2 linked regions of the Elephas maximus indicus genome follow. The protein of the gene in region 1 purifies or fractionates together with the protein of each later gene. This does not show direct contact. Links are inferred from orthologs where the notes say so. Each region holds a gene or a part of one and is shown in the gene's direction. Other genes may lie near its edges. The genes, in order: LNPEP and CANX.

What was found.
Region 2: the proteins of LNPEP (region 1) and CANX purify together in Homo sapiens (affinity purification with mass spectrometry; 3 studies listed by BioGRID and IntAct, with this or other methods). This does not show direct contact. The link is inferred for Elephas maximus indicus from reciprocal best matches to the Homo sapiens genes LNPEP and CANX.

What each region holds. Positions count from the first base shown.
Region 1 is NC_064820.1:104,517,661-104,533,215, forward strand, and holds the start of LNPEP (leucyl-cystinyl aminopeptidase), read left to right. Parts: upstream 1-8,722; 5' UTR 8,723-8,886; coding exon 8,887-8,905; intron 8,906-15,555. UniProt on the Homo sapiens protein: Release of an N-terminal amino acid, cleaves before cysteine, leucine as well as other amino acids. Degrades peptide hormones such as oxytocin, vasopressin and angiotensin III, and plays a role in maintaining homeostasis during pregnancy.
Region 2 is NC_064820.1:201,838,601-201,854,466, forward strand, and holds the start of CANX (calnexin), read left to right. Parts: upstream 1-9,846; 5' UTR 9,847-10,023; intron 10,024-15,866. UniProt on the Homo sapiens protein: Calcium-binding protein that interacts with newly synthesized monoglucosylated glycoproteins in the endoplasmic reticulum. It may act in assisting protein assembly and/or in the retention within the ER of unassembled protein subunits.

The sequences.
Region 1 (15,555 bases):
TTGTGAGGATGACACAGGACTGGGCAGTGTTTCTGTTGTGTATGGGGTCCCTATGAGTTGGAACTGACTGGATGGCACCTAACAACTATAACAAATGATTCAAAGTCTGGGGTGGGGCAAGGCTCAGGAATCTGCTTCTTAACAAACTCCCCAGGTGATTCTAATGCTCACCGCGGTTTGACAGTAGCTCCCAGAGTGAAGATTTCTTTTTTAAGCATTTCTAGTGGGTTTAGGGCAACCATCTGGAAAAGACAGAAAAGATATATCTGTGCCTACGGAATTTTCTACAGCATTTCTGTGTTTCTAAGTGGATCAGTGTTTAACTGAATGACTCGGTACCTTTTTAAGAGCCCCTGTGACACAATGGTTAAAATGGCCAGCTGCTAACAGAAAAGTCAGTGGTTCAAATCCACCAGTCCACCTTTTGGTTAGCAGTGGGAGAAAAATGTGGCAATCTGCTTCCATAAATATTTACAGCCTTGGAAACTCTATGGGGCAATTGTACCCTGTCTTATAGGGTTGCTATGAGTCAGAATTGACTCATGGGAGCGGGTTTGGTTTTCTTTTTGGTAACTTTTAATGGTAGCAGCCAGCTACCATTAGACTGAAAAACAAACTTATTTAAACAATGGACAAAGAAGAATATTCTTATGAAATATCATTTGCATTCTAAGTCCATAATGTCAAAAATTTACATTTAAATATGCATATACATACATATTTATGTATGTATAAAACACCTTTATTGAGATATAATTCTCAATAAATTATATATATTATATATAATATATATAAATTTTCATATACAATTTTGATACAGGCAGCATCAAAAGAAGATGGAAGGAATACACAGAGTCACCATATCAAAAAGAATTGGTTGACCTTCGACCTTTTCAGGAGGTAACATATTATCAGGATCTGATGGTGCTGAAGGAAGAAGTCCAAGCTGCGCTGAAGGCATTGGCAAAAAAGGCTCCGGGAATTGACAGAACACTAATTGAGATGTTTCAACAAACATGCAGTGTTGGAAGTGCTTCCTTGTCTATGCCAAGAAATTTGGCCATCCAATTGGAAAAGATCCATATTTACCTATACATATGATCCAACCAAATGCAGAACTTATTGAACAATATCATTAATATCACATGCAAGCAAAATTTTGCTGAAGAGCATTCAAAAACGGCTGCAGCAGTATATCGACAGGGAAATTCCAGAAATTCAGGCTGGTTTCAGAAGAGGATGTGGAACCAGGGATATCATTGCTGATGTCAGATGGACCCTGGCTGAAAGCAGAGAATACCAGAAGGATGTTTACCTGTGTTTTATTGACTATGCAAAAGCATTCGGCTGTGGGGATCATAACAAATTACGGATAACATTGCGGAGAATGGGAATCTAGAACACTTAATTGTGCTCATGAGGAACCTGTACATGGATCAAGAGGCAGTCATTTGAACAGAACAAGAGAATACTGCACAGTGTAAAGTCAGCAAACGTGTGCATCAGGGTTATATCCTTTCACCATACCTATTCAATCTGAATGCTGAGCAAATAATCGGAGAAACTGGACTATATGAAGAAGAACGGGGCACCAGGATTGGAGGAAGACTCATTCACAACCTTCATTATGCAGATGACACAACCTTGCTTGCTGAAAGTGAAGAGGGCTTGACGCACTTACTAATGAAAATCGAAGAACACTGCCTTCAGTATGGATTGCACCTCAACACAAAGAAAACAAAAATCCTCACAGCTCGAACAATAAGCAGCATCATGATAAACCTAGAAAAGATTGAGGTTGTAAAGGATTTCATTCTACTTGGATCCACAATTAACACCCATGGAAGCAGCAGTCAAGAAATCAAAAGACGCATTGTATTGGGCAAATAGGCTGCAAAACACCTCTTTGAAGTGTTGAAATGCAAAGATGTCATCCTGAGGACTAAAGTACACCAGACCCAAGCCATGGTGTTTTAAATTGCCTCATATGCATGCAAAGGCTGGACAATGAATAAGGAAGATGGAAGAAGAATTGATGCCTTTGAATTGTGGCATTGGTGAAGAATATTGAATATACCATGAACTACCAAAAGAATGAACAAGTCTGTCTTGGAGGAAGTACAGCCAGAATGCTCCTCAGAAGCAAGGAAGAAAGGTTGGCGAGACTATGTCTCACATACTTTGGACATATTATCAGGAGGGATCAGTCCCTGGAGAAGGACATCATGGTTGGTAAAATAGAGGATCGATGAAAAAAGGGGAAGACCTTCAAAGAGTCAGATTGACACAGTGGCTGCAACAGTGGGCTCAAGCATAGTAACAGTTGTGAGGATGGTGCAAGACTGGGCAGTGTTTTGTTCTGTTGTGCATACGGTCGTTGTGAGTCAGAACCAACTTGACGACACCTAACAACAACAACAATTCACATATCGTGTAATTCACCCATTTAAAGTGTACAGTTGAATGGTTTTTAGTATATTCACAGAGTTGTGCAACCATTACCAAAATCGATTTTAGGAAGGTTTCATCACCTCAACAATAAACCCCATACCCATTAGTGATCACTCCCCTTTCTCCCTCTAACCCTCTACCTCAGCCCTAAAACCAAACCAAACCAAAACAAAACAAAACCTGTTGTCCTGTGGATTCCAACCCATATTGACTGTAAAGGACAGAATAGAACTGCCCCATAGGGTATCAAAGGGGCAGCTGGTGGATTTGAACTGCTTGACCTTTTGGTTAACAGCCTTATCACTTAACCACTGCGCCACAAGGGCTCCACCCTAGCCTGAGGCAACAATTAATGTACTTTCAGTTTCTCTAGGCTTGCCTGGTGACACAGTGGCTAAAAGCTAAACAAAAGGTCAGCAGTTGGAATCCACCAGCCTCCACAGCAATGGGTTTAGTCTTGCCTATTCTGGACATTTCAATGTCTAGCAGACATGCCTACCTGTGACACATGGAATCATACAATATGTGTTCTTTTGTGACTGGCTTCTATGATTACCATGATGTTTTCAAGGTTCACCATGTTGTAGCATCCATCAATATCTCATTCCTTTTTGTTGCCAAATAATATTCCATTATATGTACGTATCACCTTACATTTATCCATTCGTCAGTTGATGGACATTTGGATTGTTTCCACTTTTTTTGGCTCTTATGAATGATGCTGCTATAAATACTTATGTACAAATTTTATTCTGGGTATACGTTTCCATTTCTTTTGGATATATACCTAGGAGGGGAATTGCTGGATCACACGGTAACGCTAAGCAGCGCTGGTGACACAGTGGTTAAGTGCTTGGCTGCTAACCTAAAGGTCGGTGGCTGGAACCCACCAGCTGCTCCAAGAGAGAAAGATGTGGCAGTCTGCTTCCGTAAAGATTTACTCTGTCCTGTAGGCTTGCTATGATTCTGAGTTGGGTCATCAACGGCTATGGGTTGGGTTGGGTACAGTAACTGTATATTTAACCTTTTCAGGAACTGCCAGACTGTTTTCCAAAGCTGCTGTACCATTTTACATTCCTACCAGCAGTGTATGTGGGTTCTAATTTCTCCACATCTGACATTTATTTTGTTTCCCAGTGTATGTGTAAAAGTATCGCATTGTGGTTTTGATTTGCATTTCCCTGATGGCTAATGATGTTGAGCGTTTTTCACGTGTTTTTTGGCTATTTGTATATCTTTGGAGAAATGTCTATTCAGATCCTTTGCCCACTTTTTAATTGGGTTGTTCGTCTCTTTATTATTGAGTAGTATGAGTTCTTTATATACTCTAGTTATAAGTCCCTTATCAGATGTGTGATACATATTTTCTCCCATTCTATGTTTTGCCCTTTCACTTTCTTGACCGTATCCTTTGAAACAAAATTTTTCTTGATACTTATTTTTAACTTTATTTTATTAGAAAAACGCCCAAGACTAAAGTTTGCTTTTTTTTTTTTTCAATTTTAGTAGTTACTTTTGGATCAAAATTCAAGATTTAACGATATACAGTTTCTTGGGTTAGAATCCTAGCTATATTAATCAATTATTTGAAAATTATATTCAATTTAGTGGGCTCTAGCTTTGTTTTTGCTGTACGAGGTATTTTTTTTAATTATCATTTAAATTATCATTAGTGGTGATGGTTGCACAACATGATGAATGTAATTAATGTCACTGAGTTGTACATGTAAAAAACATGGAAATGAAAAAAATTGAAATGGTAAATGTTTAGTTATATATCTTTTTACCACAACAAAAATAATACATGTGTTTATAATTTTTCATGGATATTTAGATTACCTACCTAACATTTTGGTTGTTAAGTCCCCTTTTGCCTTCCGAATAAGAAAAATGACTTTAAGTACTCTTCTGCCCCCACCTGAAACAAGGGAGGTGAGCCTAACCTCAGCATTTGGAAACTCTGCTTTGTCTAAGAAGTAAATCACTTTTATTTCCAGTGGTTGGTTTAGAAATGTATGGAATACAGTTTTGGCAAATGAGATTTAAGAAGAATCGTAATGGGGGATTTCTGAGAAAAGTTCCCTTGCTCTTCAGAAAGACACCGAAGAGTAGCTTCTGTCTTCCTCCCCTGTTGCAGCCATCTTTGGTGTTTTGGAGAAGTGTTCACACTGAGCATCACTGCAGAGAGCGTGAAAAGTTGGGCTCTTGATGAGATTGTGGAGCTGCGACTGGAGATTGCCTTATCTCTGGATTTGCTATTGTGTGACATAATACACATATATTGTTTAAACTAGTTTGATTTAGGGTTTTGGTTTTGTAATACAAAGCATCTGAACTAAAACCAAACCAAATCAATCCAGCGGCCGTCGAGTCAATTCCAATTCATAGTGACCCTATAGTACAGAGTAGAACTGCCCCATAGAGTTTCCACAGAGCAGCCGGTGGATTCAAACTGCTGACCTTTCAGTTAGCAGCCATAGCATTTAACCACCACACCACCAGGGTTTCCTTCCTGATAATAACCTATTCACTTTACTTGCCTGAGCTTTTTGCTTATTCCTAGGCTCTGTAAGAATGTTGGATACTTATTTTGTTTTCCTTAGCGCTCTAAATAGTTCTTAATTTGGTATAACTTTAAATATTATTAATTTACGCAAAGCGTGTGCACTCAGAACAGGTTGCTGAGGCAATGAGATTATTGACTCCTTTGGTGTTTGCAGTGGCTAAGTAAGGTCTGGGGTATCTGGAAACATCACAGTGGTCACCCTGGGCCTGGTTGAAGCATTCTCCATTTACTCATGAGTGCTGAACAAATATTATCATTTTCAAAAGTATGCATGGAATTAATGTATTTTATTGCTTATTTCAGAATAGTTAGAAGATGTAATAATGCTAAACCAAAGTTGATATGGAATGGAATAGTAGCCTGAAGTTAGCTGTATTTCTCTTTACCCCATATCTCTTTCATGAATTATTGTCATTGGCCCTAATTTCGCTGTGGGAATAAGGAACAACAGCAAACTCCAGAGCACTGGCTTAGAATACAGATGACCTGAATTCCATACCTGCTGCTGGGCCGTGAGTAAATCTCCTAACTTCTCTAGACTTCAGTTCCCTCATCTCTTAAATATGAGGTTTGGATTAGCTGATCTGTGACAAACCAAGTGCCTTATTTTGATGGAAAGGTTCCTACATTCATTGATTAGCAAGTTTGCTCGTTCTTCATAAATGAATGCTGTTTGTTATCCAGGGTGCTCATAAGTTTCCTTTCATACTATTTATTATATATTACAATTAGCCTTCCAAAATTTTGGTTTTCAAATTTTAAACAGTAGACTGATTCTGAAAATAGTAGATGGGTATAGTAGATAATTCACACTATCTCCTCTGGTAATTAGTAGTAACGTCATAATAATTTAAAGTGTTAGATGCTTCAACTAAAGAGGAAATTCTGTGTGGGAGGATAGGAGGAGATTAAGATAGAAACATAATGTGTTTTAGCAGCAAATTTGTGAAATCATGTTCCCTCAAAAAGGCTTTATGAAGTCAAATGTAAAATGGTATCAAAAAACAAACAAATGAAAGGAATGAAATTCATTTTTGTTCTTTTGAGGGTAGCTAGGATTCTGAATGACTTCGGTTTTTATTCTTTTTATCTCTAATACAAAACCGCAAGTCTTTAGATAGCCCTTAATATGTGGGTATGTGCTCAGGCACACAGGTGTAGGAATGGCAGAGGAATGAGGACAAGGTTGACAAAGAAAGGATAAAGAAATTATTTGTCTCTTTGTCAAAGAAATCTCAAAAAGACATGATTTACTTACTTGCTAGTGCAAAAATATTTATCACAAGTCTCTGCAGAGTTGAGGCATGTAAGACAAAACAAGACAACGTGCTTCACACTTAAAAGCATGACAGACTGTAGCTTACAGGTGAGGTGAGTCAACAAGCTGTGGAGTTTTAAATATCTCTGATACTAAGCGATTTGGCTGCAAAAATAACCCCAAAGGAAGATGACCTAAAATGTAAAGAGCCTCTTATCTAAGCAATAGAATCTGTTGGGTCATTTTAACAAAACCCAGATCTGCATATACTATATCATATAGGAACACAGATGCCCCAGCCCTGGTGGTTCACTTTCTGTTTTTCGCTCTGAAGTGCCCTGCAGGGAGCCAGCCTAAAGGGCTCTTACTATCTTTAATGCAGTGGGGAGAGAGCAGTTTTGAGGTATCATACCACGCAGACACTTTCTCTGTACTAATCACAAACACATCATTCAACACTGAGACTTTCTCGGCATTGGAAGTGAACTTGAACTCTAAATACCACTGTACCCATTCACTTATTCATTCAACACTTATTTATTGCATGCTTATCTAGGTACTGGGGTACAGCCCTAAAAAAGGTAATGACTCTGCTCTCATAGAACTTGCATTCCTGAGGGGGAGATAAATAATAATTTAACAAATAAAAAACATTGTTTGACAGCCATGGGTGCTATGAAGAAAATAAAGCAGGGCAAATCTATATAGAGTGGACTGTGTTTGTGGTTATTTTAGATTGCATGGTCAGGGAAGGGCTCTGTGTAGAGGTGACATTTGAGCTTGAGCTGAGACGTAAATAGCAAGACGGAACTAGCAGGCCAAGTAGCAGGCAGAAGGCACAGTTCACGCACGAGGCACATGCAAGAGGAGTGGTTAACGATGCTGGAAGGAACTTGGCGATTTTCAGAAAAGGCATGAGGCACAAAGGCCTGTAATAAGAGCACGGGGAGCAAGAGTAGGAGATGCAGTTCCAGAGTTATGCAAAGAGTTCAGATTTTATTCCATGCGTAAGCGGAGGTTTTGGAGAGGGGGTAGTACATTTAAAAATACAATATTGCAAAAACGCTGCGCACTACAAAAACAACCCGCTATGTACCACAATTTTATTTCTTTGAAATCTAATTTCTAACTCCTGTGCGGGTCAAACGACGCCCAGGTCGTGCCTGTTTGCCCAGGCCGTGCGCACCCTGCTGTCTTGTTCGCATCCAACGCCCTCCTGTTGACAGCCTCGGAGGAGCGTGTGACAGTAGGCAGGCGCAGACCGGCGCAGCGGAGACAAGTCGCTGCAAGGGCCGGGGATATGGGAGGAGGGAGGGGAAGAAGGCGGCGGCCTCCGCCTCGAGGGTAGCAGCGAAGCACAGACGGAGCAAGGGACGAGGAAGCCGCCCAGCTGAGCCTGCCCCGGGGCAACGCGGCCCCTAACGGTTCTGTCTCAGAGGCTTGCCGGGGCTTCCTTGATTTGAAACTGGAAACAATGGTGGCTCAGGGCTGGAAGCCATGGCGCGAGTGCCGGGGGCCTCGGGCGACTACAGGAGTGTCGGCTCCCCGGGCCTAGCGCCCCGCGGCTGGCCCCAGCGTCCGCACTCCCCGGGAGCCGCAGGTGTTGATTTAAGGTCCCCTGGCCGACCCATATCCTGCGGCACGCGCGGCCCCAGGCCGGTCGATCCGCCCCGTGTTTTGTGATCCGACAGCATCGGGAGGCCACGCCCCGAGCCTCCAGCGGAGTACGGCAACCCGGGCGCACCCGGGCCGATGGGGCTTCCCCCCACTTCAGTCCCCTGAGGACCGGCCCTTTGGGGTCGCTCTGCCGCAGGCGGGCAGCCCTTCCGAGACTCGTGGCGCCTGCTCTTTCGGGCCTTGGAGAACTGAGTTCTCCGGGGCCAATCTCCCCAAGGAAACAGAAGCTTAGCCGTCTAGAGAGCGATTCCCGCCCGCTGACTCCCGCTGTCTCTTCTTATCTCGGCTTCAAGGCACCCCCTCAGCGTGACCGCTCCTCATGACGCCTTCCGAATTAGCCACTCCCTCACTCTCCAGCCCACCACCCTGATTTAATTTCACTCTCCAGCCCACCACCCTGATTTAATGTTCTGCGGGGGGGTTTACTCCAGTCTAACTAGTCACCTGGGCTTGTTTATTGTCTCTCTCTGGAACGTACGCTCCACGGGGCAGGGACCATGTTTTTCCGGCGCAATGCTGGATTCCCGGCACATTGGACCGGGCCAGACGCAGTAGGACCTGACATTTGTTGAGCGACTCAACACACTTCTTGTTAGTGGAGAGAGCAGAGTCGCTGGTCCTTCTGGCAGGGGCGGGTCTAGTCTCGGCCCTGCCCCGGCCCCGCCCCCGCCCCAGCTCTAACCTTCTCCTCCCCCGCCTTTCCCCGAAGTCGGCCCCAGCGTGAGCCGCGCTTTTGCCTCAAGCCTCACTGTCTTTTTCTGCAGCCGCCGCGAAAACCCGGAGTGGAGGTTTCGTGGAGCGGCGCTGCCCCTCGCGGCACCTCCCCGGCAGCCCTCGGCGGCCGCGCTGGGCATGCTCAGTCGGCAGGGCCGCCTCAGCTCGCAGAGTAGGAAGCTTGGGCGCTCCAGGTGCAAGGAGCCGCGGTGGGGGGAAAATGGAGCCCTTTACCAATGGTGAGTGAGCGGCCCGAGGCGCCAGGGCGGGGGCTCGCTCTGGCCCAGAGGGTCGTGGGTAACCGGGATACGCGGGGTCGGGCTGCAGTCGCCCCCACCACCAATTTCGCGCGAGGGTTGGGGGCGGCGGAGGGGGACTGTGGGAGGTGCCTGGAGACTCGGCGGTCGGGCAGTGGTCGCACATGGCCGGGGGCTATCTTTGAAGGTCAGCTCCTCCGCCGGCCGGGAGTGGGGGGGGCGCTCGGGTGCGGCCGGGTGGGCTGGCGGACGAACGGCAAAGTTTGGGGTGCTGTGCGCAGAGGAGGGGACAGCGGGAAAGTTGGCAGCCGGTTTTGCCCTCGGCGAGGGCGGTGTCGATCCTGGCTCTTGGGCAGCAAGGGTTAAGCCGCGGCCCCTGCCAAAGCCAACTTCCCTAGTGCGCCGGGAGCTGTCTCCCTGTCCTTCAGCGAGTGGCCGGCGTGACTTCTCCTAATAGGGCGGGGTGGGGATGAGAGGCTTAGTAGATTAATTTAGTGAAAGGAAGGGAAACTTGCGGAAAGGCTTGCTCACCCGTGTCCCATGCCGAGGAGGTGCCAGTCCGCACTGCCATCCTCCTGTCGCCGAGGCTCTCCGCAGGGCGTTCAAGCTTCTTTTCACCGGCTCCCGATGATATCAGTTTCAGTCGAGGACTAATTAAATATCAAGTGTCCGTCACGGTGATACCACGATATTGTTTGAGGCGAGAGTTTACGTAGGTGCCTGCGGGATGCCCTGCAAACAGCTACAGCCCTTTACTGGTGGCGAGAATAAAAACGAGGGCTTTTGTTTGGACTGGAAGTGCTGGAGTCACAAGATAGGGGGGTGAGATATGTAACCATTTCGCGGAGTTGAGTAAATGAATTTCCTTTTAGGATAGAAAGTAGAAAAACTGCCAGCAAGGGAGAATTCACTTGAAAATTTGGAAATTCACCTTATTATTGACAGGTGTTTTCCTGCAGTTGGTCGGTTACTTCAGATAGTTGGATTATAGCGTTAATAGAAGCCAAAGGAAACACTGGTGGCGTAGTGGTTAAGTGATACGGCTGCTAACCAAAAGGTTGGCAGTTCGACTCCACCCGGCGCTCTTTGGAAACTGTGGGGCAGTTCTACTCTGTCCTGTAGGGTCGCTATGAGTCGAAATCGACCCGACGGCATTGGGGTAGAAGCCGAAGTTTTGCTTCCGTTTGGGTGGGCCAGTTCCTACCTGAGAGACAAATATTTTCAGCTATATCCCAAACTCCAGCTTGCATTGAATTTTGTGCTTCCTTCTTGAGGTCAATTGAGTATGCAAACTATTCATTATATTCTCCCTGTCCCTAATTCAGAATGCTTTATTCTGCTTCCATTTTTCTGTCTGTACTGTTTAATTAGACTTAATGAGGATAACTTTAATTTTGAATTCTCTTGCTCATTCAGATTCTGTTTTTAATTACTCAAGTTCTAAGGATAGTCTGGTACAGTTACTCAGAGAATTAAGGACGATTTCAGCGGAAAGGAACCTTAGGGACTTTAGTGTAAAATATGCTTAATGCAAGTAGTTAAGTCTTTGAAATGAATAGTCCAGAGCTTTTTCTTCTATAGGTTTATTCTTTCTTTGAGGTAGAATGCTTGGAGCCTCTGTATCTGTAGGATTTTCAGTGTGAGATTTCATGTAAGTAAAAGGCTGAGTCAAGATTAGGGCTATTTGATTTGGTGAACCTGCCCCTGTAGCATTGAAATACATTCTCAAGTCTTAAATTTCTCATCCCATAGAATATGCTTCTTTAGATGTTAACATTTTCAAAATTTTTACATTTGGGACAGAAACGCAGGTGGCATAGTGGTTAAGTGCTGTGGCTGCTAACCAAAAGATCAGCAGTTCGAATCTACCAGGCGTTCCTTGGAAACTCTTTGGGGCAGTTCTGCTCTGTCCTAGGGTGGTGGAAAAATTCCAGAGAGAACAAAAAAGAAGCAATGCTTCAACTTCCATATAGGAAATTGGATTTCTGATCCTTTCTTACATGTCTTTCAGATTTTCAGTCCATGCTGGAGACACTTTGGCAGTGTATCATCTTAGTTAATGTACTAATCACTACTTGGTGTCTTATCTAGAGTCCTTTAACAAGAAGAATAGAAACTACAACATCTAAAGTCAGTAAGAAATTAGATGTTAGTGATCTGAGGTACTTTTTAGGTTTAAGGTGGACTGAGTATTTCATAACCTTTGAAGTCATAGCTATAGAATTTTCTAAGGTCTTCAGACATGATATGGTGTAGTGGAAAGTATGTTTATCTTGTACATAATCCTTTTGAATACAGAGGATATGTACATGTAATTCTTTTATAGGTCTGGGTGTTCTGGTGCAGAGTATTTCATTATTCATACAATTTATAATTACAGGATTTTTCAGGCTTGGTATTGGCTTAGGTTATACATTCATTATCTTATAATAAAACCTTCACCACATACTTAGACTTTCTCATATATTTCTTTAAGAGATATGTTGGAGCTTAATGAAGAAAGTTTCCGTAATTCAGGAGCACGTATCTTTCAGTTAAAATCTAGTCAGTGGCTTTACCCTCTGGCCTGCACATTCGTAAAGGAGGCAGATTTAGTTTTTTTCTTGTCATTCCTGCCTTCAACATTCACCTGTTCCAGTAGGACTTTCTGCACTTTTCCTGTGTTCTGTCAAAACTTGCTCCTGGTGTGGCCCATTTTTCACAGGCCCTTCTCTGTCTGCTGATAGTGAGTTTATTTGATGAACACCTGTCCAAGGTAACTACTGCTGCAACCCATTTAAAATGCACATCTCCAGAAAGGGCTAAAAAGAAGGACATTATGCCAGGAATTTGGCTCGGGGGATATTTTTGGCCTTGCCCTTGGGAGGGATTGCTGACTGCTGTTCTGAAGATGTGACATCCTGTCTTGTTTTGGATCTTTGGTGCCTTTTTTTTTAATGGGGAGAGAAGTATGCTGACCAGTGCTCATGAGAGGTTTGGCAGTGATGTGTATCCTCGTAAGCAGGTGGAGATGAAACTATTAAGTAGTCATTTTCATATTATAAAAGATTTGATGGCAACGCCCTGGGTCTTTCGATAAAGGTACTGGATTAGGGCAAGTAATTTGATGTCTAACTTTGTTCTTATTTGCATGCAGGGCTGGGATATTTCAGAATAATTTAGGTTCATGTTAAGGAATACGGATGCCAGGGCTCACCCGCAGAATCTAATTTAGTAGAGCTGAGGTTGGGCCTGGGAATCCGCAGTACATGTTGAGGATGCTACGAGTATTCACCAGAAAGGAGCTTTTGGGAAGTTGATCAGGTAAGCAAATTCAGGATTTGGGAAAAAAGCGATAGAAAAGGACTTCTTTTTCTGCTAGTATGTATTTTTTCCCTATACTTTTTAGCTGTCTAATCCAGAGGTTAGAAAAACATTGGTATTTTGAAGTCCTAGAACTAAAAACATAATTTAAACAGTTTGTCATTTTTTCAAATGAGCACAGCCCCCAGGAATCATGTTAGTATCATAGCCCGATGCATACTGTAACAAGAGGGACGTCCCAGTCTCACAGAATTATTTTTGTTTTCAGATTGGTATGCAGTTAAAAGCATTTCCCAACTTCCAAAATGGAAGTCTGGACAAGAATTTAGATATTCATGGTTTGTAAGGCAGTATAAAATTCTGATTTCATCGTTTTGTCTTACAAGTAAGTTGTCATATAGGTATGCATTTCTTAAAAATTTTTAGCATCATCATCTGTCAAAAATGTGACCTTAACACATTTTTGTTTATGTATTTTTTCTTATGTTATATTTTACCACGTTGAGAGAAAACCTTTAAGAAATGGAAGATCGTTGTTTCTCTGTGTGATGAAATAGAAATTCTGTTTTTATCCTTCTGTAGAGTTTTTTATTTCACCTAGGGGGAGTTAGACTATATAGGAATTGAGTGTAAGCAGCGATAAAGCCTACTGTTAACATCATTAACAGTCTAAGGTTGAGGCTGTAGGTAGAAACCAATCCAGTTTTTAACTGGAAAGTTCTTTGCTGTTATCAACTTCCAAAAAAGACTGTCTTGAGACCATTGATTATCACTTATCTGTAGATGATCCCTGAGAACTCAGCCTGAAAGATATAGAACTGGAAAGTTTGATCATAAGGAAATTATATTATATACTAAGGTTAAGCAAGGGGTGATTTCTTGCTCAATAATTTAGTCAAACACCATTTTTTGAATGACCACTTAACAGGTAGATTTCTGCCTAGCCACAGTTACAAAAAAACCACAAACCTGTCATCAGTAGTGTTAACCTAATAAGAGAAATGGATCAGAAGAACCTACTTTGGTTTTCACGCTAATATAAAAATATAGAAATGTAGAAGAAGTAAAGAAGCAGTAAAATGGTGTCTAGGACATTATTCTAATCATGAAGAAAATGTATAGAATTATTTTTATAACCTGTTCGTATAGCATCTGCAACCACTGAACCCACATCTCTACTGATTTAGTATGATCTTATTAGGAAAAAACAACGTTTTAACCCACTCTGTAAAAGCATTAAAAAAAAATTGAGATATGGAGGAGTTTGGCCAAGGTTGCTCCAGAAGTTGGGGCAGCCAGAGAAAGGCAGTCTTTTTTTTTTTTTTTTTTTAATTTAATCCCTAGATATGCAGCTTTTCTGAGAGTTCACAAGAAACCAGGAATGGAAATGGAGGGAAGTTTTGGAGCCTTTGTAGTGGTACAGCGTCTTGAATTCATAATGGTGTTTGTAGAGAAGGCTGCTTACTGCTCTGGTGTTTCTGGGCAGTAAATGTGAGTAAGAGTAGTCCGTGTCCCTGAAAGGGTGGTCAGGCTTCCTCATAAAACGTGATCCATTGTCATAATCCATTTGGGATTATTCTGGGAGAAGACGAATTCTGCTACAGTGGAATTTAAAAGGAAAATTGGTGGTGAAGATGAAAAAAAAGTGAAGATTTGGGGCTAAGGGGGGAAGCTCATAGGCACAGAATTTCAGATTATACCTTAAACCTTGCAAGTCTTTGGCTCAGAAATGAGGACCTCAGGCCTAGGTTGGGGCACAGGATACTGTTGTATTTGGTTGAAAGTTAGAGTCAGGGCTGGAGGGGGAGTTGGAAGGTTGGTCTGGTTGGACAAAAGGATTTGGAGGGTGAGGGAATGAATGAGTTAGAGTCATTGCTAGGGTTTTAATCGTACTATCTTCTTTCATCATCAGAAAATTCATAGTCATTTGTAATGTTAGGACTGTTCATTTTTCTGAATGTAGATTTCAGGAGAAAAAAACAAAAAGAAATATAGAGCCATCTGCTTTGTGCAGCCATCCTGGTAAAAGTCACTGTTCTGTATTGCTTTGTTTTGCTTTAATTTTCTATGGATGTTTTTGGCTGAACAATGAGCCAATTAAGATTTTGTTTTGTTTTTAATTCTAACCTTAGCATCTAAATAAGGAGAAAACTAGTTCATTTGCCAAATAAAGAAAACTCAGGCTTCCAAAGGAGCTTAAAAAACAATGGAGAATTAAGTTTGATTGTAGGAGACCCTTTGAAGTTCTTTTCCTTCTAGTGTGTACTGCTTGATGAAGGTCATCCTGGACATTCCTCCCACATATCTCATAAATGCAGTCACGGAAACAAAACTTGAGCCAACTGTCTAAACCTCTCTAGAACGGGGTGGTCCAAAGTCTTCTCTAGTTTTTGGTGCTGTTGGGAAGGCCAAACCATGATCTGGGTAAAGGAAGTTAAAGAAGGCTTCCTGATGTTTCTGTGATGAAAGCTTCTTAAGCTGGGGGAACAGGAGTATGGGGCAGTACAGTGAGAGAAGTGGTATCTCTGTGGTTTAGGTTTGCCCCTTACCTTCCTGGGTCACATAGCAAATTATGATCTGGGTATGTGGTAGTTTCCCAGGTGTCATTAAGGAATTTTCTGGTGGGGAAAGATGCTTCAGGCCATAGTATTTCTTACAGCTGAAGTTTTTATTTTAAAGAGTTTAAAATAATTGCAACAGTATTATACCATTCCAGGGACCTGTTTTGAGGAAAGCTGTATACAAATTAGTGGGCATGATTGAAGAGAGCTAAATATTTAAAAGATTTTTCTTTAAATTGATGTTGGTAGAAAGATTTGGAGACAGAAGTAATGTAATACTTATCTGCTATCCTTTTGTCCCGTAATTGTGAAAAGGCCCTCAATGGTTAAAGTAAGGCAGGCTGCTGTGGCCCTTGGGACCTAGTGGAGGAGCTAAGTATGCCCAGATTTATCAAGATCGCGTCTAGGAGTTTGGGCTGGTCCACCCTTGTTACACTTACTGGCTGTAGTTTCTGTACTCTTTAAACTGGAATGCTAAATGTCTCAGCCAATGGGGCCATTGACATGACATTTCAGTGTCTAGATTGGGTGGCTAGGTTAAGAAGACAACTCAGACTGATTGTAGGTGTATTGGGTATTAGTCTGTGGAAATAAGAAATGTATTGCTCTTTAAAGAGCAGCATCACTACAGGCAAACAGGCTACTGAAAGGCTTGGTAACTTTACAGGTGGAGGAGACAAACAAAAAAAACCAAATGTGTTGCCATTGAGTCGATTCTAGCTCATAGTGACACTATGAGTAGAACTGCTCCATAGGGTTTCCAAGGAG
Region 2 (15,866 bases), about 97 Mb from region 1:
GGGATTTAGTTCCTAGGTTTGGAGGTTTCAGGCAGCATCCCAGTTAATTGGCCTAGTAACGTGTTGTGTTTAGTGCTTCTGTTCTACCTCCTAGTTCGTTGCGTAGTGTCTAGGGTCTTAAAAGTTTGCAAGCGGCCATCCAAGGCACAACAATTGGTCTCTATTCACCAACTGAGGAATAGAAGGGGGATACGGAATGTGTGGCTAATTGCCTCCATGAACAACTGCCTCCATTGCCATGAGGCCAGAAGAACTGGATGGTGCTCAGCTACCATTCGTGAACGTTTTGATAAAGATTCTATAGAAGAATCCCGATCAGAAGGGGGAAAATGAAGAATAGAATTTCAAATCCTTGTGGACTCTAGATTTTCTGGAGCCAGGGAGGGTGGATGAACCCCGAAACTATTGCCCTGAGATAATCTTTTTTTTTTTTTTGATACCTAAGGTTACTTTTTTTTTATTATTAACTTTTATTGAGCTTCAAGTGAATGTTTACAAATCAAGTCAAACTGTCACATATAAGTTTATATACACCTTACTCCGTACGCCCACTTGCTCTCCCCCTAATGAGTCAGCCCTTCCAGTCTCTCCTTTCGTGACAATTTTGCCAGCTTCCAACTCTCTCTATCCTCCCATCCCCCCTCCAGACAGGAGATGCCAACACAGTCTCAAGTGTCCACCTGATACAAATAGCTCACTCTTCATCAGCATCTCTCTCCTACCACTGTCCAGTCCCTTTCATGTCTGATGAGTTGTCTTTGGGAATGGTTCCTGTCCTGGGCCAACAGAAGGTTTGGGGACCATGACTGCCGGGATTCCTCTAGTCTCAGTCAGACCATTAAGTATGGTCTTTTTATGAGAATTTGGGGTCTGCATCCCACTGATCTCCTGCTCCCTCAGGGGTTCTCTGTTGTGCACCCTGTCAGGAGAGTCATCGGTTGTGGCCGGGCACCATCTAGTTCTTCTGGTCTCAGGATGATGTAGGTCTCTGGTTCATGTGGCCCTTTCTGTCTCTTGGGCTCTTAGTTATCATGTGACCTTGGTGTTCTTCATTCTCCTTTGATCCAGGTGGGTTGAGAGCAATTGAACCCTGAGACAATCTTTAAACCTTAAACTTATTCCCCCAAATCATCTTAAAACTGAACAATAGCTTAAGCAGTTAAAAAAAAAAAAAAAAGTCTGTCTTGAGCATTATGCTCTTTTAAGAACTATCTATTTGGGATGAAATTGACAACAGGAACTTGAAAGAATACATAGGAACCTTACGGGGCAGTGAGTTTATGTTAATGAGGGAGGAATAACTCAGAAAGTGAGGGTGAGAATGGTTGCACAACTCGAAGAATGTAATCAATGTCACTAAATTGTGCATGTAGGAACTGTTGAATTGGTATATGTTTTGCTGTGTATATTCTTAACAACAACAAAATTAAAAAATTCTTAAAGCAAAAAAGAAAATACTAGCCTTGCCCTCACTAATTACGGTAGTGTCTGTTCATCACGTGACTGTATGTGTGGGTTTGTTTTTGGACTCTCGATTCCTGGTGGTGTAGTGGTTAAGCGCTACAGCTGCTAACCAAAAGGTCAGCAGTTCGAATCCACTAGGCGCTCCTTGAAAACTCTTTGGGGCATTCTACTTTGCCTTATAGGGTTGCTATGAGTCAGAATCGACTCGACAGCAACGGGTTTTATTCTCTTCCACTGGTCTATCTGTCCTTGCGCCAATACCACTTTTTTTCATTATTATAGCTTACAATTAGTCTTGATATATGGTAGTGTGAATCTCCCAGCAACATTCTTTAAGATTGCTTTGACTTTCTAGGTCCTTTGTATTTCCATATACATTTTAGAATTAGAATGTCAATTTCCACAAATAAACACTCATGGTCACTGTTCAGAACCCTCTCTTCCTGTCATCAGAACATTGGGAGCCCAAATCATTCTTCAGAAGGTTGTCTGATGGGCATGGAATCAGAGCCCAGGGTTGGGGGAAGGGGAGCCAGGGGGCAATATTTTAACCAAGCCAGCAATTTCTTCTTTCTCTCTTATTTCTATTTTATTAAAGCTAATTTTAATTAAGTCATAATATTTCAGGCACATCACGGGCAACCACCAGAAATAGTATACACCACCATTCAAATCCATGGATTACCAAAAAGGAAAAGCCACAAAACCCAAAGAAGGCATAATTTGTTGCTTTGAACAGGAAAAGTTTAGAGAGATGATGGACAGTTGCCATTTAACATGTTAACTCTTTTCACAAGCAGATCCTGCTTTTAAGGAAATTAAATGGAAACGGAATTTAAAGATCCACAGTCTAAAAGCAATGGTTCTTGGCCTGTTTGAGGGACTCTATCTCAATGCCCTTATAGAAAACACTAAATTTGGTGCCAGTGAAGGAGGGAGTGCCAGGTCCAAACAGGTCTCTGAGTTTAAGGACATTTGGCAGAGAGGGAGAAGAAGACCTAAAAATGAATTTTCATTTCCCTACACCCAAGCAATTTTTTCTTCAGTGACTGGTGGATGTGAATGTCAGCGGGTCCCCTCCTCCTGGGAATCAAGAGAAATACTCCCAAAATCAAGGAAGCAAATTCTTGCTTCCCCCCATGGTCATTTCAATCTAGCTTCTGAGATAATCTGCCCTTGCATTTGTATACGCAGATTCCAAAGAACATCCATTGAACTAACTTTTCCTGAAACGAGACAGTCCCTGTGGTAACACACACACACACACACACAAAAAAGGTAAAAATTCTGCACTTGTATAAAACTTGATTGAGATAGTAATTCGAACAGTATAGAACACAAGTCCACAGTTACCAAAAAAACACACCCACTTCACTTGGCACCTTCATTTTCTGCAGCCTGTTATTCTCTCCCTTTCTTATGAGGTGCCTTTTAAGGAACAGCACGTTTAGCAGGTAAGGATGCCCATCCCTCTGTGGTTTATCCTTCACTAGAGCTTTGTCTTCTTTAGCCTCTCCTTGGGTCTTTCTTGTGGGCTTGGTGGTGACAGGAGTGGATGAGGTACAGAACTCAGGGGTGGCAGTGGTGGTGGGCTTCCATGGTCTACGGATTGCTATTCCTCCCAAGCTAATGTTCCTTAAAATTAGTTCTATGGCTATTCTTTGGAATTTGCAAATACTCCAGGAAAAAAAAAAAATTTTTTTTTTAATTTTTAAAATTCTTACTGTGCTTTAGGTGAAAGTTTACAGCGCAAAGTAGCTTCTCATTAAAAAATTTATACACAAACCGTTTTGTGACATTGGTTGCAATCCCCACAATGTGTCAGCACTCTCCGCCTTTCCGCCTCAATAAATTTTGTTTTAATTTCAGAAAAAAAAAAAAAAAGTTCTACCTACTCTGGGTAACCACATTATAACCAGGAACAGGACTTGAGGGCCTGCATCTGGGTTTGACTTGTAAGGGCTAACAAAAGAGGCAGGCAAGTCCGGCGAAGCTCTGGCAGAAAACGACTATATTCCTGGGCCTGGGTTTTGGTGTGCTTCATGCCATGTCAATTCAGCCCCCTCTGGCAGACATGCTGCTGCTTTTCGCAGTTTTCCCTACCCTGATAGAACCGCCACGAACCTGAGCTGAAGAGGGGCGTAGGAGCAGCCGCAAGTAATGACACCACAGACGCCCACTATTGTTACTTGAAGTTCCATAGTTTTTCATGGATAGCTGTTTCTCAATTTGGTGTGTGCCTTTGATAGATTTGCAGAGTCAATGATAGATTTTTAGATGTGCAGGATTAAAAAAATATATACTTCACAAGCAATATTTCTTAGGAAGCAACAGGAAAATGTATCTACCAATTGTAAACCAAAAAAGAGTAAGGTGTCAGGTTATGAAGAGAAGATTAAAACATTTATCTACATAAAGACTTGTATGCAAATATCCATAGCAATACTATATCATAATAGCCAAAAACTAGGAACACCCCAAGTGTCTATCACCTGGTGAATGGATAAATTGTGATATAGCCATACGATAGAACACTACCCAACAATTAAAAGGAATGAACCACTGATAAATGCCACAACAAGGATGAGAATCTCAGAACATTAGGCTGAGCAAAAGAAGCCAGACACAAAACTTTATTGTGATTCCTTTTTCAAGAAACTCTAGAAAAGACAAATCTTTAGTGACAGAAAGCAGATCAGTCTTTTCCTAGGGCCACTGGTGGGGACCGACTGGGAACGCGTATAGGGGGGCCTTTTGGGGTAACAGAAATGTTCTCTATCTTCATTATGGTAGTGGTTACATGGTGCATATGTTTATCAAAATCATGAAACAGCACAATAAGATTGATTTCTAAAAGTGGGGGACTGATGAAACAGGAGATCCAAATGCAGGAGGTACAAGGACTTCATTGACAGTTGCTGAGAAGCAGTCCAAGAAAGCAACCCATCCCAACTAGAACAGGAGGACAGGGCTGTGAGAGACCTCAGCTTGAGGACCAAATGGGTGGACTGCTTCCTGTGTTTCAATGTTTTGGGAGGAGTTTCAACAAGTGAAGGAGAGTTTGGGTTATATTAGCCCTGAGTAAACAGAAAACTCCAATTGTTTCTGGAGCTGAAGAGCCAGGATTTAAGAAGGCTTGGCATGCATGTTAACCCTGAGCCAAGGTAGTGAGTGGATGCTGGTGATGAAGGGAGAGAGGAGGCTGAAGCACACGTCCAGGGTCCACGTGGCTCTGAAAGACAAGAAAGAGCAACCTCCATTCTCACTCTCAATTCCAGATAATGTAAGATGAGATAGTAATTTTTTTTTTCTGTCCTTGGATATTCTGATGTCTCTATATACTTTTCTTGAGTTAGTTTAAATATTTTTGTTCCTTATAATCACACACAAAAAATTAAAAAGCTCTTAATAAAATTGGAAAAACATAAGTGTAGTAGATAGCTAATATCCTAATAAAGATTTCTTAAAAACCAATATGAAAAAGACAAACTCTGTAATAGAAAAATGGACAAATTACGTGAATAGACCATTCGTGAAGAAATATGGCTAATGAACATTAAAAACAATCTCATTGTAAGACAAGAAACTTCAATTAAAATAACAATATACTGCACTTTGCCTATTAAGTTGACAGTGCCAGATGAGTGTGGGTACAGAGAAGTGGTGGTTACTACCCAACCAGTAAGAAAAAGCTGGATGGAAATGTGGGGTGCTGCATGCCCCACTTTCTCCTTCAAGCAAAGGAAGGTGTGAATGAGCAAGGACAAGTGTGGCTTTTCTTTGGGGCCTTGTGAATAGGGGCAAGCTAAGCTATAAGAGGAAGCTGGATATGAAGGACAAATTGCTTGTGTCCAGTACAACTTCATTTATAGTGGTCTTAAATATATATTGTCTTTTTTGAGAAACTAAGCGTAAAAGAAATTTGTTTAATGTTCTTTATTGAAAAAATAATATTTGCATTTGTTATAAAAAAAAGTCTCCTTCCCACTTTGAGTCCCACTTCCCTCTTTATACCAGTCTTTCAGGAGTTTCTTGTGTATCCAGTAAGCTTGTTTGTTCAAGATTGTATTTATAACCTCTCCAACATGGAACGATGCATACATTACTCAGTACTTTTTCACATAACACTAAATCTTGGCAATACTACTACTCAACATGCTTTTTTTTTTTTTTTTTTTTATTAAGCTTCAAGTGAACATTTACCATTCCAATCAGTCTGTCACATGTAGGTTTACATACATCTTACTCCCTTCTCCCACTTGCTCTCCCCCTATTGAGTCAGCCCTTACAGTCTCTCGTTTCGTGCCAATTTTACCTTCTTCCCTCTCTCTCTATCTTCCCATCCCCCCTCCAGTCAAGAGTTGCCAACACACTCTCCTGTGTCCACCTGATTTAATTAGCTCACTCTTCATCAGTATCTCTCTCCCCCCCACTAACCAGTCCTTTTCATGCCTGATGATTTGTCTTCGGGGATGGTTCCTGTCCTGTGCCATCAGAAGTTCTGGGGAGCATTGTCTCTGGGATTCCTCTAGTCGCAATCATACCATTAGGTGTGGTCTTTTAATGAGAATTTGGGGTCTGCATCCCATTGGTCTCCTGCTCCCTCAGGAGTTGTCTGTTGTGTTCCCTGACAGGGCAGACATCGATTGTGGCCGGGCACCAACTAGTTCTTCTGGTCTCAGGATATTGTAGGTCTCTGGTTCAAGTGGCCCTTTCTGTCTCTTGGGTTCTTAGTTGTCGTGTGACCTTGGTGTTCTTCCTTTGCCTTTGCTCCCGGTGGGTTGAGACCAATTAATGTATTTTAGATGGCTGCTTGTTGGCATTTAGGACCCCAGGTGCCACAATTCAAAGTGGGATGCAGAGTGTTTTCGTAATAGAATTGTTTTGCCCATTGATTTAGAAGTCCTCTCAAACCAAGTTCCCCAGACCCCAGCCCCTGCTTCGCTATCCTTTGAAGCTTTCATTTTATCTCGGAAACCTCTTTACTTTTAATCCTGTCCAATTAGGCTGACCTTCCATGTTTTGAGTGTTGTCTTTCCCTTCACCCAAAGCAGTTCCCATCTACAGATTGATCAATAAAAAGCCCTCTCCCTCCCTCCCTCCCTCCCTCCCCCCTTTGTAACCACAAAAGTATGTGTTCTTTTCCGTTTTTTCTATTTCTCAAGATCTTATAATAGTGGTCTTATACAATATTTGTCCTTTTGCAACTGACTCATTTCGCTCAGCATAATGCCTTCCAGATTCCTCCATGTTATGAAGTGTTTCAGAGATTCGTCACTGTTCTTTATCGATGCGTAGTATTCCATTGTGTGAATATACCACAATTTATTTACCCATTCGTCCGTTGATGGACATCTTGTTTGCTTCCAGCTTTTTGCTATTGTAAACAGAGCTCAACATGCTTTTTAAGGGTGTAGAGCCATTCATTGTAGGGTCTGTATTTTATTTAAACAGTTCTGTATATCAGTTAGGCTATTTTTAAGATTTTTTCCAGAATTTTGATACTAAAACAATGATGCAATGAACTTCACTGGATGTCTTTACACACAAGTACAGTATGTGGCTATATTCCACACAGATATATGGATATATTCCCAGGGGTAGAACTGCTGGGCCAAAGGATATGAGTATTTTAAAATGGATATAAAGCATTTATTTTTTTCTTTTTAAATTGCGGTGAAAACATACACACCAAAACATTCGCCAATACAACTTCCACATTTACAACTCAATGACATTGATTACATTTTTCATGTTGTGCCACCATTATCACTATCTTCATCCAAAACATTCTACCATCATTAAGTAACGTAAACCCGGTGCTCCCCAAAAACTCCCCCTTTCCCCTGCTAACCAATAATAATCTTTGGTTTCTGTATATTTGCTTATTTCATATACGTGAGATCATACAGTATTTGTCCTTTTGCGGCTGACTTATTTTGCTCAGCATGATGTTTTCAGGGTTCATCCCTGTTGTGACAAGCATCAGAATTTGGTTTTTCTTTACAGCTGCATAATATTCCACTATATATATACCACATTTTGTTTATCCATTCGTTGATGGATATTTCATAAAGCATTGATTTTGAAAAACAATTTGCAGGTTATAAGGTCAGTCAGAATACATTTAGCCCAATGTCCCACACTAAGAACTCTGTTGTTTGCCACAGTTGAGTTGGCCTCCAACTCAAGGCAACCCCGTACACACAGGATTTGGCCGTTGTGATCCATAGCATTTTCATGGGCTGATTTTCAGAAGTAGATTGCCAGGCATTTCCTCCTAGTCCATATTAGTCTGGGAGCTCCATCAAAACCTGTTTAGCATCACAGCAAAACACAAGCCTCCACTGACTGATGAGTGCTGGCTGCACTTGAGGTACTTTGGCCAGGTCTCCTTCATGGAAGGCAAGAGTTCTAACACTGAACCATAACTGCCCTCTAAGAACTATATAATTATTTATTTTAATGAGATAATCTACTAATCACTCAGAGTACCTTTTGAATTATCAAGAAAATATCTCATTCTTGAAGGTTTTGTCCTTGGTCTCCTCCACTGAAGCACATTATGCTTTGGCTGAAAAATCCACATCTCCAGTCCTGTTGTTTCTTGGGCCGAGATCCATATTCCTCAGGATCAGGCAAGTTCGAGTTCCCCCTTTCTTTTGGGGCTGTATCACCTTACCTCATTTCTAGGTCAAAACATCTCAATACTGGCATTGGTTCTTCTCTTTTCCAGAGTCCACTGGATTATCCTTCGGCATCAACATTTAATGCTTTTGTTTCTATATACACTGCTATCCCCTAACTGCAGGAAGTGACTTCCTAACTGGCCTCATAGTTGCTAGTCTCTCTTTTAGATTTCCCGGTAATAATATCAAAAGAATGCTTCCCAAGACACCTAAATCATGACCCAAATTTAAAAGCTAAAATATCTATTAACTCCTTGGCTAGTCTTTCAAGGCCTGGTCCCAAACCAACTCTGGTGCTAATCTCCCATTACTCACTTTCATTAATATCCTTCTCCAGCCAGAACACTTTGCACAGTGTCCCCAAACACACATTGCCTGTTTTCCTGTCTTCGCATATGCTGTTTCCTCATCTAAAGAAGCTTTTCTCCCACTCTATACCTTTAGAAACTCTGCATATCATACCAGGTCCAGCTCCAGTCTTCCTCTTCCCTGTCCATCCTAGATGGATGCACTTTCTCCGTAATCAAATCCCATTAAATTCACTTTAGTACCACCATCTTTTCTTTTCTTTTCTTTTTAGCACTTACCTTTGCTGAAGTAGCGCCTATGCTCATATAAGTGGTTCCTCTACATTATAAACTATGTTTGGATTATGTGACATCCAGGACATTACTTTGCCCTTAACACAAAATCCTCTTTCGCAAATTTGGTGGCTGAGAGTTGAATACTAAAATTTATGCAAACACCAAGCCCTGACTTCTCTCTTCCCTTTTCAGGTGACAGGAGGGAATATAGCTGGCTTCCAGGATACGTGATACACCCGCTATTTCTAGCTCTTCCACGCTAGGATTCAGCCTTTGGGTGAGCAACAATCGGTGGAGAGACCGGAACCTCTCAAAGTCTAGAAAAACCTCCGAGCTGCTTCCATCTTCTGAGGTTCTCGGCACATTTAAAATTGAAGATGTGCTAAAAGCCGGTTACAAAAATTGTGTATTTTAAATGTTTCCATTGCAACACTCTTTTCTCTCAAGCATGTCGTCAGTGTATCGCTTGCCCTTATGTCAGAAAACATGACAAATTGAAAGTTTGATATAACCTTGGATTATACATATTATCCTGAATTGCATTTTGTGTTAGGCAATGAGCCAGCCGCAGTATCCAGGGCTCAGAGCAATGACTCTGCAGGAACCGGGGCCAGTTAGAAAGGGCTGTGTGTGCAGTCGACTTAGGCCGGGCCAAGGCGTCCGTGCCGGGTTCTGGCTGCGCACGGTCGGGGCCCTACGCTCGCTGCGTAGGGGCTGGCCCTTCCTGATGGCCGACAGGACCACCCACTCTTTCTGCCGGCTGCTCGGGTGCCCACACCACAGTGATTCGGCTTAAGCACCCGTCAGCGTGCCCACTAACACGGCCGGGTAACTGGGCGGGACAACGCCGGCCCGCCGATCCCGCCCCAGGACTCGCGCGCTTTCGGTTGCCGATAACGTCGGGGCCGGCCCCCTCACCTCCCACCCAACCAGCAGCCACTTCCTGCCTTACTTCCAGCCAGTCCCCACACTCCACGAAGAATAGCCCTAGGGGGCGTATGGGAAGAGGCATAGAGGGACGGCCACACTGACCAACCGAGTTTCGAAGCTTGCGCAGTGGGGCGGGATTTGCCTTCGTTCGCAGCCACTCAAGAACGAGGGGCGGACGCAGGGCCGGGCTTCGTGCGGTGGGGCTCGCTCGGCGGCAGCAGCGGTGGCCGAGGCCTCTTCGTTTTGCCGCACGTGACGGTCGGGCAGCCGCCGCCGCTGTCTCCACTGCAGCGTGGGGTCAGGTGTGCGGGCGGGAGGAGGCGCGGGAGCCGCCGGCGGTCCCCAAGAGGCTCTAGGTGAGAAGGGAGGTTTGTGCGCACCCCCGGGCCCGTGGGGACCCCAGGTGGCCCATGATCGCTGCGCCGCGGCCGAGGGGCCGGGCGTGGTCAGGGCCGAGGGGTTGAGCTGGGTTTCAAGGGCCCGGGTCCCGGCACATACGTTGGCCGTGAGCAGCGAGGCCTGGACGTGGGCCGCTTCATTTGGGCAGCCAGACCCAGGCCCCTCCGCGGGGGTCGGGAGGCGTGGCAGGTGCCCTAGGTCCTCTCTTGACCTTTGGGAAAGCTAAATTCTTCGTATGGCTCTGCTTCTAGGGCTTTCTTAGGCCTCTTCCTGGCTACCTGGAAAGCCGCGAGGTGGACTGGAGTAACCGGGTAAAGTCTGAAGCGGGATCGGGCCTAGTCAGTACCCTTAGCAATAAAAAATAGAGAATATTTACTATTGGCGTTACCGGTTCAGGATATTTGAAAATAAGACCTTAAAGCAAAGACTAGACGCTGGAACCCCGAAGAGTAAGTGGAAAGTACTAGAACATGCGTTGGTTGAAAAAGTTTGCAGCAGCTATTTGGGGATGGGAAGTAATCCATTCGGAGATTCACAGGACATTAAAAGCAGGAAAGGACCTGAAAACTCCGAGTGCAGCTTGTTTTTCGGTGGAGGAAACTGAGGCCCAGAACACGAAATGACCGGCCCAAGGTCATACGATTAGTCTGATGATCAGGTTGGGATTAGAGGGCTACGCAGTCTCCTTGTAGTGGTTAAATATAGGGCTCTGCTTCAAGTCCTTCCTGGACTATTTGCTAGTTACGTGAACTTGGACAGTTTATTTAGCTTTTTTTGTGTCCCAGTTCTCAAAAAATAATATAATAACTGATGGAGTTTTGGAGGAGCACTGGTGGTGCAGTGGTTAAGAGCTTGGCTGCTAACCAAAAGGTTGGCAGTTCAAACTCAGGAGCTGCTCTGTGGGAGAAAGATGTGGCAGTCTGCTTCCCTAAAGATTTGCAGTCTTGAAAACCTTATGGGGCAGTTTTACTCTGTCCTACAGGGTTGCTCTGAGTCGGAATCAACTGGAAGGCAGGGAATGGGGTCGTGTGATGGAGTTTTGAGGATTAAATTAAGATGTATATAAAATAGGACAAGAGTCTGAAAGTTGTTGGTTTACTACACTGACATCCTAGTCTTTGAGTTGGCTAAGTCCTGTTTCTTAGGATCTGAAGTCACCTTTATGGCATGGGGGGGAAGAAATTGGACCTTGTGAATTAACTGCTGGGCATGACACAAGTGAGTGTTGGTTGAGGGAAGTTAAACTGAGCTGAATATTAAAAGCTTGGGAGGGCAAAGGTGAACCACAGTTAAACTTATTTAGGGAGTGGAAGATTTTCCTTAATTTTTTAATAAGTAGATTTTAAGTGGAATCATTGTATTGATCTTTAAATAATTCTGCATCTCAGTTTTCCTACAGCCATGTTTGAGGGCCATCTTTTACATCTGGTATAGTTATATTAAGAGTAGAGGTAAAGAGCTGTGAGAGTTCTCCTTTGCACAAGATAACAAGCCAGGTAACTGGATTATGAGAAGGCAAGAGTGAGCTTTGTATTGGAGTGAATGTCACATAACAAACAGATTTTCTAAACTCCGAAAATGGGAGTCATTGTCCCTCCCCCACCCTACTATCACAATGCAGCAGTTCAACTATCACGTTTTCTTACAAGGACCACAAGGAGTAAACATTTTGACAGAAGTCATTGCTGCAGCTTTGACGATCAAACTGTTGAACCTTTAAGTTAGGGTTCACTTTGCCCTGCAAGATAGCTTGAGAGGGTGAAATGACAGTTGGTAAGCATAATTTCTGGGCCCAGCTCTGTAACTAGCTTATTTACTATCTTGGTTTACACATCTTTGAAATGGGAATGAGCTGTTTCCTCAGATACCTTACCATTACGGGGCTATTGAAAGGGACAGATGCAGATGATGAGCATAAAACCACTTTGAAGAGTTATAGAATTAGACAAACAGAAGAATTGGTGGTCATAGTAACTCTAGAAAGTAATAAAAACGCCTAAACATAGTTGTAAACTATATATAGTTTACTGTCGAACTTTGTCAGAAAAATGCTGGTTGAATACTTTGCTAGTGCAACAGATGTACTTTTAAATTAAGATTACCTCTGAGCTGTGAAAATTATTAGGAGAATTCTGTTTTTTAAAGAAATTAGAGAATCTTCAGCAGTATGTTTCAAGTATTCACATCTTAAAGCTACACAGCTTATAGGAAAACAAACCGTTGCTGTCAAGTCGATTCCAAATCATAGTGACTCTGTAGGACAGAGTTGAACTGGCCCAGTGGGTTTCCAAGGCTGTAATCTTACTGGAAGCAGACTGCCACATCTTTCTCTCATAGAGCAGCTGGTGGGTTCGAACCACCAACCTTTCGGTTAGCAGCCGAGTGCTTAACCACTGTACCACCAGTGCTCCTTCCAGAAAAGGAAAGTGCTATGGAAAAAGCAATTCTAACGTTCCCCATGAAAAAAACAAAATGCAAAAATGTAAACAAGGCAGTGTAGGTGATCTATTTTAATGGAGAAACATTTACAATAAAGACCACTTTGTATTTTATTGCCTCTTAAATGTTTATTTTTTGATAGATGCACAGGATAGTAAAATCAGAAGTTGCAAAAAGTAAGATGGTTCATCTGTGACTGGAATCATTCCTTTTAAGGTTCCTTTCCCTTCATGTCTTATTTGCCTTAAAACTCAGGGTTTCGAAACCTTTAAAACTTAATGAAACATGTTACAGGCAATATCTAGTAATGGTAAAAATCACAGCTAATATTGAGCGCTTACTGTAAGCTAAGCACTGCCACATCCATTTCTACAAACATGAAGAAACTGAGGCCTAAAGATTAGTAATTCACTGAGGGTCACAAATTATTAAAAGGCCAAGTATAGATTATAATTTTTGAGTTCCTGCTCATAAACACTACTGTATGTTTCTAACTGGGACCTTAGATTACATAATTTCTTTCAACCTTAGATTTCTCGTGTGTAAAATGGGGATGATAGTACTTAACTCCTAGGGTGGCTATCAGGATTAAATTAGACCTCCTAAGGTATCTAAAACCTACAAGACCTAAAATTTTAAAAGGATATTTTAATAGATAAATGGATAGTTTACATGAAGGGAATACTGCCTCTTTTTATCCCATACTACCTATTTTTAAAATAAGTCGGATTCAACTCGACGGCTCTGGGTTGGGTTTTACCTGTTTTTAAAATCACTTTTTTAAAAAAAAGTCTAGTAGCATTAGACTGGATTGTTTCTTCTGTTCCTCTTTCTAACTTCTCGTAGACTGAAGGAGTTAGAGTTGAAAATGTTGCAGGAACAAATTACTCAATTTCCAAACTTTTTACAAGAGACAAAAATCCCTCCAAAAAAGCCCAGGACCAGGTGGCTTCACTGGTAGATTCTACCAGATATTTAGAGGAGAATTAACACCAATCGTTCATAAATTCTTCCAAAAAATAAAAGAGGAGGGAACACTTTCCTGCTCATTCTCTTTGGTCAGTACTGTATTGCCCTAGTACCAGAACCAGAGACATCACAAGAAAAGGAAATCACAGACCCATATTTCTTAGGAAAGTAGGTGTAAAAATCCTCCATATGATACTAGCAAACTGAATCCAGGGTTATACACCATGTCCAAGTGGGATTTATCCTAGAATTCAAGGTTGATTCAACATAGGACAATCAGTATACCATCCCATGTTAATAAAGGACAGAAACCATGTGATCATCTCAATAGATACAGAAAAAACATTTGAGAAAAGGCAGAACCCTTTTTTGATTAAAATACTCAACAAGCTAGGAATAGAGGAGAACTTCCTCAACCTGATTAAGAGACAGTCCTTTCTTGGGGAAAAAAATTAGACGTACTTTTAAAGGATATATAAAAGTTTAATAGACCTGAGAATAGTTTAAGCCTCCATTTGTTTATTCTGACTATTTATTGAGGATAAAGTTTCTCTGCCTTTGAGAAGTGACAAATTTGGTATTTAGTTGTATGCCCTTTCTTAAAGTTGATCTAAATAGTTTTCTGGATTTCTGAAATTTGATATAATGTCTATCACATTTTATTATAAAGACTTCAGTTGAAAGTCTGATGTATATGTTGTTAAATGTATGTGGTAGAATGTAGACTTTTTTTAGAACGGGTGCTGAGAACAGAATTGGTAACTGAACAGAATGTTAAGGGAAAAAAAAAAAAGGCAAATAAACATGGAAGTTTCCATATCCAAAGGTTAAAATTGTATATACACTGTTGTAAGTATAGGAGGAAGAGTTAAAGAAGAAATTGTATAATGTAAACTGGACGAAAGCAAGTTTTTCTTGATATGTAAAATCATCCAGCTTTGTTGAAATACATTGGAGGAATAAGCAGGCATATTAGATCCTTTGGCCTAGTATGAGAATTTAAAATGTATTCACGTTGGTTTTTCTAATTGTGTTTCAAACAATAACATGTTTGCATATGCTTATGAAGTACCAGACTCTGATAGACTTTGAATTATTTTATCATATTTTCATGGCCAGCTTTTGAGCCAATTAGGCTATTTCCCATGTCTGTAAAATTGGGAAATCAATACTTCTAGAAGTTAAAGTAGCCTGACCAAGGCCATACAGAGGAGCAGGAGGAAGTCTGGAACCCAGATCTGTCTGGCTTGACAGGTCATTCCACGAACATGCACTATGCTGCCTCGTATGTAAGGAATTAATTTTACTGCGTCATCAGTTTTAAATTGGAAACTTCCATCTCTAGAATACAAGATAACTCCACTCTTCTAAAAGTTAAGAGTGGGTCAGAGGCTCCTGAAGATCCCTTTGGACCTTGATTTTGAGAACCAGGCCTTTTACTCTTGTCTTTGGGAAATTGGGAAGTAAACCAGAAATCATTTGTGTGTGACATAAATAGGTACGTATCTGGCTCCTACTTGGCTATGTATACATTTGTTCATGTTTGTATCTTTGATCTCAGAGGGTAGAAGTTTTCTGACCTGGGCATAGGTAGGTAATTTAATTACTAAAAACAAAACCTTTTTTAACTGGAAGGAAAGGAGACTACCTCATCAAGCTCAGATTTCTAGTCCAGCTCACATTTTTGAGTCTTCCTTTGATAGTTTTGTGCTTTGGAGGACCAGGTAAATTTAAAGCTGGTTTCCTGACGGCTTTGATCCAGTGTAAAGAAATACCTTCATTGATCCAGTAATACATATTTTTTTAACTTTTTATTTTGAAGTAATTATACACTCACAGGAAGTTGCAAAATTAGTACAGAGAAGTCCTTTCTGCATTTCCCCCATGGTGACATCTTACTTAACTATAGTGCACTGTCAACCCATGAAATCGACATGGGTACAGACCCCATTCAGATATCACCACTTTTTACATGCACGTGTGTGTGTTTAGTTCTGTGCAATTTTATCATCGCAGTAATTTGTTTTTGAAATTTTTACTTTTCAAATTTCATTGTCGTCAAATACATAAACAAAAGGTTTACCATCTTAACCATTTTTAAGTGTGTAATTCAGTGACCTTAATTATGTTCAGTGTGTTGCACTACCATCACCACTATCCATTTCCAGGAGTGTTATATTGCTCCCAAAACTCAGTACCCCTTCAGCAAAAACTCCATTCCCTCTTTCTCCCAGCCCATAGCGGCCACTAATCTACTTTGTATTTTTCTATTTTAGGGATTTCATATAAGTGGGAGCATACAATATTGGTCCTGTTGTGACTGACTTTCTTCACTCAGCATGTTTTCAGGGTTTATCCTTGTAGCATGTTTTAGAATTTCCTTTCTTTTTAT